2 linked regions of the Diceros bicornis minor genome follow. The protein of the gene in region 1 interacts with the protein of each later gene in a pairwise test. Links are inferred from orthologs where the notes say so. Each region holds a gene or a part of one and is shown in the gene's direction. Other genes may lie near its edges.

Region 1 (8,420 bases):
GTCTCAGTGCCCTCCTCCTTGGCTGGGCACCTTTGTGCAGGGCGCATGAGGCACAACCTTGAATTGTGGCTGAGTCTGAGTTGCCAGCGTGGTACTTTCTGGGTCAGTCGCCAAACAGAGGAAGGAAAATGAAAGCAGTCAAGAATTGTGCTGTCTCGTGCTGCCCCCTGGTGGCCACCTTCTGCATAACATTGACAGCTCAGGAAAAGCATCTGAGGGGAGAGGGCCTCCTACCTGCAGAGATCCTGAGACTCAGGAGTCAGGGTCCCAGCCTCAACCCTGAGAAAGGGATCTTGTCGTGAAGCAGCCCCCGTGGACCAGGCCTGGGCCAGGCATTTTAGAGACGAACTTGGGGCACCTGTTTACTATCCGGGCCGGAAGCTTCCAGGGCAGGGGCTGGTCTCATCCCAGTGTCCCCAGTGCCCAGCACAGAGGCTGTGTCTCCCCCATCAGACTATGGCTTACCCTTCTCTCTCTCCCTGTCCCACCTAGTCTAGCTCATTGCCTGGGGAGAGGCGGAGGGGACTCCGACCCGACACCTCACTCCAGCTAGAAGCCCCCATCCCGAGCCTGGAGCTGAGAGTGGGCACATTCTGTGGTCAGCCTGTGGCCTTCTTTCCCAGGCTTCGCAGACAGCGCTGGGCCTCCAGAGAAACAAGGAACTGTACGAGGAGCTTCATTCAGGCCTCGACCCCACCCGAGAGTGACTGGAAAGAAGCTGGTTGGCAGAGAAGAAAACAGAGGATGGGGCTTCCCCCTGCTCTTTGGATAAAGGCCAGATCCCATATAGGTGCTCGCTCCTGCCACCGCCTCCCTCTCATCCCCCGTGCTCCAGCCACCATGGCCCTCTCTTCCTCCTGGGAGTTGGTCCCTTCCTCCACCTCTAAGGTGGCCCATGCAACGTTATCTCTGCTAAGCCACGTCCCACTCGTACTTGAGCTGTGGACTCATTCACTGTCGCTTCTCCTGGACGCTCCCTCCACGCTCGACACCACATTGAGTCCTTCTCTTCTATGCTCTCAATAGATCTTTCTCAGCAATCCCAGGGCTGTGACTCTCAATTCACCTGGGTCGTTACTGGATGAATGCCCACCTCCCCCATGAGGACTATTCTCCCTCCTCCAGTGAACAGGGGCCTCATCTCTCTCATTCACGCTGTAATCTCAGCACCACATAGTGCTGGGCATATAGTGATGCTCAATAAGCATTTGCTGGATGAATGAAAGGTTGAATCAGTCAGTCCTGCCTATAACCGCTTTCTAGATGTGTGACCCTGGACAAGTCTCATTTTCTTGCATTCAGTCAACAAACACTTATTGAGCATCTACTACAAATTGTTCTGGGCACAGGAGTCAAACCCAGATCTGGCTGGCTTCCAATTCTGTTCCCTTACTGCTTATCCAGCTCTGCCTTTCCTGAGAAAACCAATACTGAGGAGATGTTTGAGGCACGAGGTGGGAAACCCCAGTCTGAAGTCTCATCCTCTCCCTCTGGTCCCCCAGACATCATATATGCCAGTCCCCCAGTACCTCAAGCATCCCTCCCTCCATACCCTGGTGCACACAGAGCCCTCCAGCATCTCTGCCTGCCAACGTCCTATTCAACCTTCAAAACCCCATCGCAGGCCGGCCCCGTGGTTAAGTGCGTGCGCTCCGTTACTGGCGGCCCAGGGTTCGGATCCCGGGCGCGCACCGACGCACCGCTTCTCCCGCCATGCTGAGGCCGCGTCCCACATACAGCAACTAGAAGGATGTGAAACTATGACATACAACTATCTACTGGGGCTTTGGGGAAAAAAAGGAGGAGGATTGGCAATAGATGTTAGCTCAGAGCCGGTCTTCCTCAGCAAAAAGAGGAGGATTAGCACGGAGGATGTTAGCTCGGGGCTGATCTTCCTCACACAAAAAAAAAAAACCATCGCAGGGTCACCGTCGCCTTGAAGCCATCCCCACAACCCTTGGCAGAAGCAACTCTCCCCTCACACTTGGCTGGCGTGGGGGTGCACCAGTGTCCACTCTGACCCGAGCTATTGATGCACACGGCTGCCCTCGTGCAGTGCCGTCCCCCTCCCAGGACCGCCTGGGCAGGGACTGGGTCTGACTCATCACTGAACGGCTCCCGTTGATCAATCTTTCCCTGACCAAACCCTGCATCATCTGCTCTCCATGCTCCAGGGCCCAGCCCAGGGCTGGGCACCCGGGGCCAGTAAACGTCCGTTGTTGAACAGAACAAGTAGGGCAGCCACAGGAGTGGGGACTCTGCCCGGATCCCCAAAACCATGACAGGCGAATGAGGTTCGGGGTGTGAAGGGCACTCTCTCCCCTGGTCCCCTCACCCAGCAGCAGCCTCCTCTCTCCTCCCCCCAGTGGATGGATGGGGAGGAGGGTGCTGGGGGAGGGGAATGGGAGGTCACAGGGCAGATGGGCTGTGGGCTGAGCTGAGAAAGGACAGCCTGCCCCTGGGGAAGGACAGCCACATATCTTAGAGCTGTCTGGGAGTCTGGGAACCATCAGCTTCAGCAGAATTCCAAGGACAGGGAAGGTGAATGTGGGCATGCAACAGGGAGCTGCCCACCCTCACATGGTCCAGTCTCAGGTTAGTGCCAGGGCTGGGCTGACAGGCAGGAGACCTGGGTTCTCGTCCCCATTCTGCCATCAATTTGCTGTGTGACCTTGGGCAAGCCCCTGCCCCTCTCTGAGAGCCAATCTCTACAATGAGAGGATTGATTCAGTGTGGAACTGACCAGCATGAATGCTGGAGGCTGGGACAGCCAGAACCACCCCACCTCGCCCAGCCATCTCTCTGAGCTGGTGAGCAAGGGACCCCGTGTGGGGCCGCTGCCCAGCCTCGTCCACCTGTCCCTGTCTTAAGCTGAAGGGGACACAGTAGACTCCTCAGGCATCCTTTCCCCTGTGAGCTGCCCTGTCCTCTCTGCAGGGGTCCCCCTCCCCATCCCCTCTGCCCCCAGAGCTGCCAGGCTGCCAGCTGGGAGCAGCAGCAGCTGTGACCAAGCTTCCTGCGTCATGGTGAGTCAGAGCCCTCCCTCCAGGCCAGAGCCAGTCACTCCACCACGGAAAGAGGAAGGACACTTCTGCTGCCACAACCCCGGGCCACACAGGACAGGCCCCCAGAGCCTGGCCACAGGCAGACTCGTCTTCCTGTTTCCACACAAGGGCAGGCACACAGCTGACACTGTGCAAGGCACCAGGGCATCCATGGTGATCACAGACTGTCCCTTCAGAGCTATCCCCACAGGCCAGACGGGGGGGGGGGGGCGGGGGGGACAGGTCTGAGATGGGCGGGGCATGGGGGTGTCTGAGCACCCTGACCAGACACAGCACTGACTCCAGGACTAGCATGTCTGTCTTGTTCGCAGTGGCGCATAGTAGGTGCTTCATACACGTCCACTGAATGGCGGTTCTTTAGGCTTCCTGTGGGTGTAGGGAAGCTGTGGGGAGGTAATAATACTTCCTACCTGTGTTCACCGTCACTATCAATTATCATTAGCCGTAAGTTAAGTATGTACTATGTGCTGGTCATTTTGCACATATTATCTCATTAATCCTTACAGCAACCCCAGGAGGTGAGATTTTTACCCTGGGTTAACAGATAAAAAAACTGAGCCTCAGAGAGGTGAATCAACTTGCCCCGAGTCACACAGCCTGTGTGAGCTGAGCCCACACTCACACCAGATCTGCTGACACCAGTGGCCAGGGCCACTCTCCACCCAGACTTGACTCCAGAGAGGTGACCAGGCCTGGAGAAAGAGAAAGCGGTCAGCACCCACCCCCAGCCCTGTCCCCCACCCCGCCCCCGGCAGTCCCACCAGGCCCAGATCCTGCCCTGCTGGAGGCCTCCAGCTCTACCCCACGCCCCTGCCTCAAACCTCATCCAGCCTTCCAAACCTTGCCCGGCCGTCACCAGGAGTTTGAAGGGACCAGTGAACCTGGCTTCCTCACCTGTGAAAGGGACACAGTGACACGCGCCCACCTGGGGCACAGGTAGGTGTAAGGATGGAGTGAGACCAAGCAGGTGAAAGTGAGGGCCCCGGAGGGAAGGTTTGCTAAGGCGCTGGTGGGGGAGGGTGTGTAAATGTGAGCGTGTATACATATGAGTCTGTGGGTGTGTGCTAGTGTGTGTGAGTGTGTACAAGTGTGTGGGTGTGCAAGTTGGCATGTGTGGGTGTGTACGCGTGTGAGAGTGTTTGTAGGTACGTGTGTGTGTGAGACTGAGGGTGAGTGATTAGAGCCGGCCACTGTCGCTCCATTAGACAGGAGACCCGGGCTGAGGAAAGGCCCGTGCCTCAGTTTACCTTGCCCTGGATAGGCCCAGAGAGGCCGTCGACCCCCTTCAGGTGCTACGGGAGACTCCTGTCCAGCGCGAGGCCACTAGTACACTATCTCCACCCTCCGTACTCTACCCCGGGCCAGCGTCCCCCAAATGAGGAGCTGACGGTCCAAAGTCGCTGTCCCTCACAGCTAAGGGACCTCAGGCAGGCATCTGACTTCCATGAGCCTCTGCAAAATGGGCGCAGTGGAACTATTGTTACTGCGCTCAGCCGGGTGTCCGGTCGTGGTGGTTGAGTTAACGTTATGTACTTTGTGCCTAAATGCCGGAATCTCCCCGTCCCCACCGCCCCCTTCCCTGACCTTCAGCCCCTGTCACCAGGTGGCGCGGGAGGCCTGAGGGCCGGAAATTGCCCTCCCCACCTTCTGCCCTCCCCGCCACCCCACCCCCTGTCCCCCCCACTCCCTTGCACCCCCCGCCCGGGCTGCCGCAACAGGTGCGCGGGGCTGGCGGCCACGCAGGGGGCAGGGGCAGGGCACTCGGGGCTCGGGGCGCGCGGTCCCCGGGGGCCCCCGCCCGCCGTGCCGCCCGCGGCTGGCAGAGCAGGAGCAGGAGCAGGAGCAGGAGCGAGCGCGGCGCGGGAGGCGGCGGCGCGAAGAGCCGGGCGCGGCGGTGGTGGCGGCCGAGCGAGCGGAGCCGCAGCCCCTTCCCCGCTCCTCCGCGCGCCCCTCCGCCCGCTGCGCCCGCGCGCACCTGAGCCCCAGCCCGCGGAGACATGAGCGCCCAGCGGCCCGACGCACCCGAGGCGCAGCGGCCCGGCCCCGCGGCCCCGTGATGGGCTCCTGCGTGTCGCGAGGTGAGGGGGCCGCCGGCCTGGGGGGGGCGGTGGCCGGGGTCCCCGCGCCCGGGACGCGCGCACGTCCTCTCGACCGCTCTGAGGAAACTAGAGGGGTAGGGGAGCGACCCGCCCCTCCCGGACTAAGCCGCACCCCACCCCACGCCCGCCGAGCCCCAGGGGACGCGGTGCCCCGAGGGGCACAGGGCGCGGGAGACGGGGTGCTGCTTGGAGAGAGAGCGCAGCGAGGTCACCGCATCCCCAGACCCGCTTGGAACCACACCCCAGCTGGTGGCATGAAACAGAGTCCCTTCTTTCCCAACAGCCACACACCCCCTGCCGTGCGTGTGCCTTGGAAGGGAAGGAGGTTTCTGGTTGCCCTTGGCGTCTCTGGCGGGACGTCGGGGGCACCAGAACACAGATTCACACCCCCTCAAGACACAGGCCTCACTAGCTCAACGCTCCCCCACCCCCCACCAGCTCATTCCCTCCTCTTACCCCATGCCCCTGTCTTCAGAGTCCCTGAACCCCATTGGCAGGAAGGGCTTAATGGAGGTGAACAGGTTATAAAGAAAGTTCCCCTTCCCCCACCCTTATCCCCAACTCCTCATCCCCATCGCCATCTGAGGTCAGGGGGTAGGAAGGGAGAGAGACAGCTGATGTTCCCAGTAAGCCCTGGGCCTTTCTCTCTGTCTCTGTGATTTAAAAGCCGCCCTGACCTGGCACACTCTGCTCTTGTCCTGTGCCAAGCCCCACCCCTGTCCCCAGGGTGATGCCCGGGAGCTGGAGTGAGCTGCCCTGGAGGGTGGCGGGGGAGTCTTACACAGAGCCTCGGGGATGGGCAGGTGGATCCAACAGGCCACTGGGCAACATTTTAGAAGAGGTTGGCTGGGCTGTTCTCCCACCTGTCTCTTCACCCCAGAGTGGGATGCGGGGCAGGGCTGGGGGTGGAGGTGACTGGGACATTGGGCTGAGGCTAAACCCACCGACCCAACCTCAGGGCCTTGGGGCCTGCTACCCCACCTGTCTCCCCCAATAGCTTATTCAGGTATAGAGGAATGAACAGGTCTTTGGGAGGAGCTGGGCAGGCCCTGGAGGGGGCCTTGCCCTGGGAGGTGTTGATGAAGGAGCACAACATCCCCCCCACACACACCTGCCCATCCTCTGGCCTCTAAGGGGCTCTGCTCACCGGTCCATGTGGGACATTCAGGTACGTGGCTCAACATGTCTTAGGAGGGTGTCAGGGCTGGGATTGTGGGTGGAGGCTAGACTGTGTGAGGTTCATTCACTTACTCATTCATAAGCTGATATTAGCATGACACCTACTGTGTGCCAGGCACGGTGTAGGCTCTGGGCTTCCAGCGGCGATGAGCCCAGCACAGCGCCTGCTCTCGTGAGGCCTGCAGCCCAGCCAGAGGGGAAGGGAGTTTCAAGAGTGAAGTGTTTAGAGTTCTTTAGGACAGACAGGCTCTCAGTGTGTCTCCAGAAACCCCGAAGGCTCTGGGCAGGCTCCGGGTGTTGGGGATCTGGGATCTGGTGTTTCCTTGGTGACTGTGTCCCTTCCCCATCACTTAGTCATCCCATGCCAGGAACTGGGGGCCCAGCCCCTCATGAACTTGCCTGTGAGCTGCAGACCCGCTGAGCACAGTGCAGAGGCCAGGGAGGAAGAGAAGCCCACCAAGGTCACACTGCGAGGTGGTGTCAGGACTGGGGTGGGGCCCAGGTCCTCTGAACCCCCACCCAGTGCTGGCACCCTCTGCCATGCCTGTTTGAGGTCACACCACCCAAGACGGGCGTTCTCCACCCTTCCTTCTGTGGCTTGGGCTCCCGAGTGCCACCTCCAGATCTGGTTGTATATTCTAACCTTGTCTCCCTCCTGAGAGGGTAGGGCCACTTAGAGCTTAATGTGCATGCAGAGAAATGAGATAAAGATGAAGGTATAGGGCTGCTTGAGCAGAGGACACCGTCGTCCCGTGAACCCCCGAGTGGAGGCCGTCCACCCCTCTGTCACTAATAGTCTCAGCGTACTTATGGCTTACCAGGTACTGGTTGGAACCTTTTGGGCACAACTAGTTAATTTGGGGTACATACTATCACAGTCCCCATTGTACAAATGGGGAAACTGAGCAGAGGGGAGTTGAGTGACTTGGCGGGGCCACATGGCTAAGAAATAGCAGAGGCGGGACTGGAACCCAGTCTCGCGGACTCCAGAGCCTGGGCCCTCGGCCTCTGCCCGGCACAGCCCGCCCTCAGCCCGGGTGCCAGCTCCTGTCCTGCTCCTCCCCAGCTGCAGGCTTCCGTGAGCTTCTGAGCCCCACACCTGGCCTCCACACCTGCACCAACTGCTAATAGCAGCCCCCTTAGTCCACGCGTGTCCTTGGGCCAGGGACGCAGCCTGCAGCCAGGCCAGGGGTTGGAGCCTCATGCTGATGCCTATATGGAGCCCGGAGCCTGCATGCAGCTGAGGTCACCCCAGCCAAACCTCAAACCCCAGGTCCAGGCCACACCTGGGAGAGCCAGCCCATGCCAGCATCGGGCAGCAGTTGCTTCTCCGTGCCAGGCCAGAGAGATCAGGAGTGCAGCCTGGAGCCGGCCAGCCCAGGTTCGCATCCCTGCTCCACCATTCTCTGCCTCTGAGACCTCAGGAAGTAATGTAACTTTGTGTATGTATCTCAGTGTTCTAATCTCTAAAATGGGAGTAATGCCAGTATTGATGTCCTAGGGTTGCTGGGAGGGGATTAAATGACCTAATCCATGTAAAGCCCTCTGATCAGTACCTAGCATGTAGTAAGCACTCATAAGTGTCAGCTATGACTTTCATTTTTAATTTTTATCCTTACCTCCTGTGCAGACAGCTAGTTGAGACCCTCTTGGCTGGGAAAGGGGAAGCTACAGAGGCTTCAAGCGCCATCCTGCCTCGTGGAGAAAGAACGGACGGCAGGCACTCGAGATGCTGAGGACATGGGGAAGGTGGTGGGGCCCAGATTAAGGCAACAAGCGCTGTTTCCAGGAGCTGTTTTGTGTTCATTATCTATTTTTAAGCTGCTGTTGGTTGGGCACTTAGCCTGAGCCCGCCAGAGCCTTTACTCTCCTGACCTAGTTAGTCCTCAGTCAACCCTGGGAGCAGGGACGTGGGGCTCAGAGACGGGAAGAGTCTTACCTGAGGTCACACAGCCAGGATGTAGAGAGGTGGGAGTGAAATCGGGTCTGTGTGACCCCAGAGCCCTTTGCTCTCTCGTGTCCTCCAAACGGAGAGAGATACTGAGCGCGTGGCCAATGCTTAAAACCAGTGAGCCTC
Region 2 (8,110 bases), on another chromosome or scaffold:
ATTCCTCCTCATATGTAAATGGGTTATCATAGTACCTATCTCATACATAAATAGGGATGTTGTGAAATGGAAAATTCCATATCAAGTGCTTGGTACACTGCCTGACACAACGAAGGTGCCCAAGAGGAGTCTGATAAGTGAATAATGAATGAGTTCACAAGGAATTCAACCTGCATCCACTATTAAACACCACCTTGTTACTAAACACCACCTAATTATGTGAGCATTTTTTTTCTTTTTAAAAAATCAGTACAATCTGCCCTCCTAGAGACTGTGGTACAGGTACTAAACCTACAGGCTGAAAAAAATCAAAGATCATCAATGGTCACTCTTTCTCTTCTTGAACCTCCTCAGATGGTAAAATGAACTTTAAAGGAAGAATATGATAAGAACACTAAAAAATGAGGGATCCCACTCTTTCTTTCCTCCTTCTGGCTGTAGGTGAAAATATAAACTCAGTTGTGAAAATCTTTTGGCAAAGGATGCGGGTTTTGTGTTGGTTGTCTCAGAGGGGGTATAGAATTCATTGTTTTTATTTTCCCTTAAATTTTATGCTAAGATTCTCTAAGTTTGAGAGTTTCATTAAAAATTCAAGGGAACTATATTAAGGAAAATAGAGGTTGAAGGGAGAAACAAGTCAGTAAAATCTACTTTAGGCAAGAAGGGCTTTAGAAGACCCTTCAGGATCAGATGATCTCCAGAGTAGCACAGAAGTTCCAGAACATGAGTCCATGATTATATTTATAGTAGCTATTCACACAACTAAACCAGAGTAAAGCCTAGCATAAGGGACTCCTTAAAAAGTCATTGAAGAAAAGAAATAGGGGTCATATATAGTCCAATTCTGCTATCATCATTTCTTCTGTGTTGTCACTAACAATAGTGGTGAAAATTTCCAACTTAAGAGCACTGTTATGAATCTATAGGTTAGGCCCAAATGTAGAAGAGAGAAGGGAATAAAGCATTTCCTGTTCTTGAGGCTGCAGACCACCCGCATTTGCTATGAACATTTCTGAGACTCCAAGACTTCCAGGAAATTCAAAATTTTGACAATAATTCACTCAGCAGGGACTTAAGAAACTTTTACTGTAGATTGTTCAAATTGTAAGGGAAATTGGTAACTCAGCTAAAAGTGATCTTTCAAACTGAATTTAGATCCAGTCATGGATTACAGAGATAAATCAGTAGTGGACTAGGAGAAATGATTAACTGAGTCCATTAAAACTCAGACTTTTAATCCCTCCTCTGTTTGGAGAGCCAGGGAGCTCTCCCTGTAAGTGCCCGGGAATCACTCCTTCATGGTCCTGCATTTTTCCACTTATTTTAGAAAAATATGTAGAAGGAGTATAAACATACACAACAAAATACTTTATTCATCAGAAAAACTGCTGCATGGTTTTATTCAAGGTGATAACTTTCTGTTTGACTTTAGGGAAGTTATTTTGTTTGTCTATCTACATGTTTTTTAAAATAGGATAAAAAAATCAGGATAAACATAATTATCTTACATAATGCGTCTCCTCTGTAAGGATTAATACTTAGCTTTTTGAAATAAAAGCACTTTACCCATACAAGAAAATTACTATCATTATTCTTTATGAATTTAAATGAGTATAAATCCGTTTTTCCAATTCCTGTCTCTTTTCATTTTATAATGTTGACTTTCAAACACTTAATTTTTCTTCCAATTTCCTAAATGCCCCCATGCCTTAAGTTCCACCCTTCTTGGCTCATATAATTTATACACAGCATGTCTAATAAATAATATTACCATAAGCTCACAGGACCACAAGCTTAGACCTGTTATAGTACTGGCACTTTGCATTTTACTGTCATTCTCGGTTGTCAACTTGTCCATGCCACAATTAAAGTGGATGGAGATATTAAATGAAATTGTGTACACCTAAAAGCCATTCTTGGTTTTATTTTGTTGGTTTGTTTGAATCTGGGAAGGAGTGAGGTGGAAGTAAGGAAAGAATATAATTTGCCACTGAGGAAAGGAAAATGGCTCCTCAGTTGCTTCTGGGCAACTGAGGACCCTACCAGGTACTGCAGAAAAAACAACCCCCTCCCTATAGCACCCTCCTCCCTTCCCTTCCCCACGTCCAGACTTACCGCCCCCCCCTCCACGCCCCAAAATCTCCAGGTGTGAAAGCTGACACCGCGGTCAGTGCGCAGTATTGGGGACGTGGTTTTAAGTAATGGGACAACTGCCACAGCTGATGGCATTCTTCACTCAACACGGAGCAGGGTTCCGGTCCCTCTACCCCAGGGCGCATAGCAGTGCAGCGCCGCGCGTCTCTGCTCTTCTGTGCTCACCAGTGAGACCTGCAAATGACTGAAGGAGGAAAGAAACCGAGGGCTCCCTATTTTTTAAATTGTCCCTACTACATTCTACTTCATTCTGCTATCCTAAAGAGGGAAACTGCTTTTTATAATTTAAACGATAACATTCCTTCGGTGTCTTTTAGAATTGGCTTCCCTGCTTTGACTTCGTGCTGCACATAAAACTAGACTAAAGGGTAACTCAAAAATAACTTTTTTAACAACAAAATATTAGAGCTTAAAAAGATAAAGCTACATAATAGCTGGAGATTAAAAATTAAGATATTGCATTAGGGACGCCAAATAACGCTTCAGTGCAAATACAACCAAAAAAACAAAACAAAACAAAACAAAAACAAAAACAAAAAACCTGACTGTCCAATTAGACAAAGCTGCTTTACAAAAGCGCACACACTTAAATCAAATCTCCCCTACAACAAAACATGGTTTAAAGTATCAGTGTTCCTTTTTTCCTAAACACAAGCTGAAAGTAAGTTATCTAAAACCGACTATTGACACGAAAGAGACCTCCAGGGCGCGAGAAATATGTACATCTTTTCGAAGCGGAGAAATGGCACCACGACCCCTTCGGTCGATGCAGATTGCAGTGCGGAGACTGTTCTCGAGAGAGAAACCAGAGAGCCCAGCGTAAAATGCTTTAGCAGGGGAAATCGACAAAAGAGGGGAAATTACTTTGAAAGCTTTGGAGGTTGTCTCCATGGCCAACAAAAGCGACTTATGCAGAACTGACTTTTGCCCCCACCCCATCCCGAGAAACAGAAAGAATCCATCTGGCGAGCCCCGCTGCGCAGTGCGCACTGCAGCCCGGAGCGCAGGGCTGACTCCCGCCAGACTCGAAACCTGCTCCCGCTGCCACAGCGCACCCGGGCCGCGCGCCCTGCTCCGTGCGGCTCCGCGCTCCGGGTTTCCGCGGTCACCAGCACCGGGTGAAGAAGCACACCGGGAGGGCACTTCGGTGAGCACTGTCCCGGGAGTCCCGAGAGCGTTCTCCGCCTCTATGCAACCTTTGGGAGGCGTCTGGCCCAGAAAAGCGCATTCCTGGGCTCTGGGCCGGCAGGTTTGACACTGAGCGTAAGGCCGCGGCTTAGGCGTCACCGCCCAAGGCCCTCACCTAGCACGAGCCTTCAGTCGCTGGAGACTCATCGAGCAGAGTTTCTCTTGGTCTTACCTCACATTCTTCCATGCTGGATTCCCCCACTTGCAGCCGGGAGCAGCTCCCTCCTGGGAACGGACATTTGTCAATCTAGAGCGCTTTTGCCACGGGAGATGCTCTTGGTGTCCTCAGAACAGAAAGGTGTTAACTGAAGTTTTCCTGAATGTAATAAGGTGTGTGAAAGCGCTTTGCAAATTGTAAAGCTCTCTGCTTAAGGAGAAAGACAATCTTCACTGTGCCTCCAGAACTTCCCTTCCTTGAAAATAATTCAATTCCCACCTGAATGTAAACCTCGGAAGGGGTTTTGTTCATTGCATTATCCCCAAGGCATAAAACAGTGCCTACTAGTCAGTAGGCAGGTGGTCAATGAATAATGAATGTACAAACATACACACTTGAGGAAACTGATCAGGTAGGGAACATTCGGGAAATTTCCTTTGTTTTCCTGGTAGGGAAACGTCCAACATTCACTGGGCACTACTCCTTGCCAAGTCTTCTAGGCGTTGGCAGGCCAGTGGGGAGTGGGGGAGGTGGCAAACGTATGAGTCCTTCAAGGACGCAAAAGGGGGCTTGGTGCTGCAACTGCCTAGATTCTAAGGTTGGTTCATTCTCTCCTCTCCACCCCCGCCCCCCAAAAGCATATTCAATAAACATTGATTAAGTGTATACAAAATGTGCTTATTAAACGTTTGTTGATGGTTAGCATGATCTGCCCAAGGTCACACAGGGCAAGAAGCTTAGGACTCAGTTCCCTTCAACACATATTTCTCCAACGCCACTCTGAACCAAGACTATCCCGGGCACTGGGGTACCAGGGAGCCTGGCTCTCAGGTCCTAGCATCAGGCCCTCTGATGAAACGGCGGCCCAAGGCAAAATGCCCACCATCAGTGTTCCCTCACAGTGAGCAGGGTAGTACGCTCACAGCTTGCTGGGAACGCTTCCTTCCAAGAAGGGATTTCTGCATTTTTCTCCTTCACTTTACAGCCTGACAAAGGATGGGCCGGGACCCCTCTAGGGCTGACGGCGGCGGGAAAAGCAGGCTCCACGTGTCCCATCTCTGGCCTCAGCCTTCATCACCAGACTAGGTAACCACGGAGCTTGGTGAGCCTAGCTCTCCCTTCCTTGCGCCTGTCCAGGTGCAGTCTGCTCTGGTAGCCAGGCTCCCTTTTCCTATCTACTTTTCTTTTGAGTTTCTGCTAAAATCTGGAGACGTGGAATCCACCCGCGGGAACTCCGAGCCCCTCCAACTGAGCATGCGCCAATGCCAGGCTCCTTTTGGTCACTGGCTCCAGAGCTCTCCAAGCTGGGGCTGCGGAGCTGGAGGCGGAGGGAGGAGGCGACAGGGGAGGGGGGTGCCTGGAGAGGCGGCGGCTCGCGCGCCTGCGCATCCAGCTCCAGGGTCCCTAGGTTTTGTATGGGGTTCCCAATCCGCAGCAGAGACTTACCGAAGCGTGTTGCGGCGGCGGCTGGGCTTGCAAGGCGCGATCCAAGAGGAATTTAAGCAGCCTAGAGCCCCAGAGAAAAAAAGAGCGCGAGAGAACCACACACAGAGACGGCTTAACCGTTTACCCGAATTAAATATATATATAAAGAACTGTTGAGTTTTATCATTTTCGTTAAGTGACCGTGCGCAGCGCTATAACTGTAAGTGGAAAATACAATCTTCGTTGCATTTCTGCATGTAGTACAGCCAATTGTCGGGGAGATGCTTTGGCTATTGTCACATACTTTGCATAGATGCGTCTAAATGCATGGTGACAATTGTTTTGGTTAATGCTGGTGATCTGAATGTGCTGTTAGTCCGCAGGGGACCTCTTGGAATAATGGGGTGGGGGAAGGGGGAGTGTTTATATGCGGCGTGTGTGGGAGATTGTCTTAGGCAAGATTTAAGATACGTGAAACAGAGGTGCTTTTTTAGTTTGTCTATAAATAGGCAGATTTCCTTACAAGATTTAAGTAGCTAACTGACCGATTGTGAAGTTTTCCGGTTGCTGATAAAACTATTGAGCGGTTCCAGTCAAGTACCAACCCGTCATCCGTGGGGTTGGGGCACCATTTTTCTCACTGTGGAAGAGCCGTGAAGGTGTTTGCTAAGTAAAACTGAATGGACGAGGTGGTGTGGAAATCAGGGTTGATTTCAAAGTGGGATGTTAGTGTTCGGAACCACAGAGCGAGGTGCAAAATAAGCACGTTTCTCTCTTAGTATTTAAAAATGAGTAGATAATTTTTCGGTTTTGTTTTTTCGTCACGATGGTGAATGGGCAGAAAAAAGGAAAGATGTTTAACCTCACAGTCAGCCGTCTATTTTGAACGGAGTCTGAGACTCAGAGTCGCTGAATGAAGACTGTCAGACCCGAACTAGTTCCCTGCTTTTGCATCCGGTATTCTCATTCCGGAATGCAGGGTTGAGAAATGTAAACCCAGATGTGTTACATTTGGTAATGTTTCTTTAAAGGAGAAAAGGTCCTTTTGTGTTTTGAGTTAAAATGGGTTGTTCCTTGCCGAGAAATAGAAGAAGGGACTTTGCAAGGTCAAACCCCCTCAGGGGTGCTGGTGAATTGGGGTTGGGGGGAAATGGTGATGATCCATGTGAGTGCTCAGCACTGCATGGATCAGCACCCTGGGAGATGCAAGAGTGGGAATCCATTTTTCTAGAGTTGCCCTCCTGTTCATATTCTGGAGACTAAAATGAAATGGAAATGCTAGTGGGTGTAGAAAATACAAGTGTATACTATCTGTGTGTCACATCTCACTTGAAGACAAGAGGAGCAAGGGAGTTGTATGTCTACATATTAATTTTTTTAATTTAAAGGAATTTCAGGTTGACACAAATTACAAATGAAACCCTTGTGAAAACACGTTTTATCTCCACTACCATTTAAACTGCCTACATGTGTGTGTGTTTGTGGGGGGAGGTCCTGCATCACTGAACACCTCACCCATAAGTGCACTCTCATTCAGCTTGGATATTTAATAACTCCAGAAAATGCTGCACTGAAGCAGGTTGGCAGAATGGCATGAGGCAGACAGACAAGAGAAGAGCATGGCCAGTGTGTGCTGGATTTCCATGGAAAAAGCAGCTCCAATTTCTGGGATGAATTGAAATAAACTTTCCCCAAATAGGGCAGATTATTATAGGACTCTTTGGCCCTTCAGTCAGTCCCACTATTTGGAATCTTTCAAAAGAATTTATAATTTATTTAAATAGATGGAATTTCAAATAGAAAATTCGAGACTAGCCTCTCCTTGGAAACTCAAAGTGTAAATCACACTGCCCTCTCTGTTCCTCCCTTCCTTACTCCAGGGCGGAAAGACCAATCATTTGTCGTAATTGAGCCATACTCCTTGTCATCACTGAGAGTTGGAGTCAGCTCCCTGAATGGTGCAGGTGTTGCCCTGCATTGATACATGGGTGATACATGGGAGGAAGAAGCGGGAAGCTGGTATTAAAGCTCATATCAGAGAAGTTTGCTCTGGGATACCCTGATTCATAGGCTGACAGTTACAGAGGGTCACTTCCGGCAGACACCTTCAAAAGCATCTAATCCAAACCGCTTGTTTTACAAATGAGGAAACTGAGGCCCAGAGCCATGGAGCTAGGGAAAAGTCAATTAACTTCTAGTCTATGGAATAAGCAATTAAAAAGTAATGTCGAGTGGAAATGTTCCCTTCTCTCTGCACATTTAGCACCCTCAGTGACATTGTTGAAATCTTCAAATAAATAATTGCCTGCTCCCCAGCACACCTTTCTAAGTGTCCCAAGGGTTCCTTTTCACATCGTTACACTTCCCCGCCTCTCCTGTTTTGTAAGGTTTCTTTCTTTCTCCTTGCCATTGCCCCTCACCTCTAATATACCCACCTCATTAGATGTTTAGTCTGGCCTTCCTGGCCTCCCCTGCATCTCAGTCAATTTCTTTGGGATCCTTGGAGTTTTTTTGAGAAAACAGGGAAACCAGTTGGAATCGTCAGCTCCTCTTTGAGGACTGCCCAGGCTCATCCCTATCCGCTCTCTGCTCTATTTCCCAGAATCCTTCAGGGAATCCAGCCTTCAGAGACACTGCAGGCTCCATCCTCACTCTTTTCCCTGTGTTGCCTCCTTCAAAACTGCTGCAGCTGGAGGGATTGGGACCCAGCAGAGTGAGGAAGCTGCAGTGTAAACACACAGTGGGCTCTGCCAGCTCTCCTCTGGCTCCTAGAAGGCAGAACCCAAATCCAAGATGCTTAACTGTCTGCAGCCTTCATGGAAATCCTCCAGATGAAGCCACCTGCAGGGGAAGGGGGGAGGAGGGGAGACTGAAGAAGAATGCTCCTCTGGTTCAATCTGAAGCAGGCGCTATAGAGGAGAGCAGTGCAGCTTTTTAAAACCTTGAGAGATTTTAAAGCATGTGCACAGCTCTTCTTGCTGGACAGAGACTGCAAAGCAGGCAATAATACCTGCCTAATTGCCCTTCTTCTCTTTCCTCCTTTTTTTCTCCTTTCCACTCACTTGCTTTCCCTATTTCTCCCTCATTTTCTCCCTTCCCTAAAAATTTCCCAAGTGCTTATACGATAAAGCTCTAGCCCTTTTTAAGATAATCCAGGCCCTCCTGTTCCTTCACCAAAAATGTAAT

The links.
Region 2: the proteins of FAM131C (region 1) and VSNL1 interact in binary tests that used the Homo sapiens proteins (3 or more experiments, as listed by UniProt). The two-hybrid records come from large-scale screens. The link is inferred for Diceros bicornis minor from reciprocal best matches to the Homo sapiens genes FAM131C and VSNL1.

The regions. Positions count from the first base shown.
Region 1 is NC_080752.1:34,029,226-34,037,645, reverse strand, and holds the start of FAM131C (protein FAM131C), read left to right. Parts: upstream 1-4,874; 5' UTR 4,875-5,121; coding exon 5,122-5,143; intron 5,144-8,420.
Region 2 is NC_080751.1:63,878,380-63,886,489, reverse strand, and holds the start of VSNL1 (visinin-like protein 1), read left to right. Parts: upstream 1-4,949; 5' UTR 4,950-5,144; intron 5,145-8,110.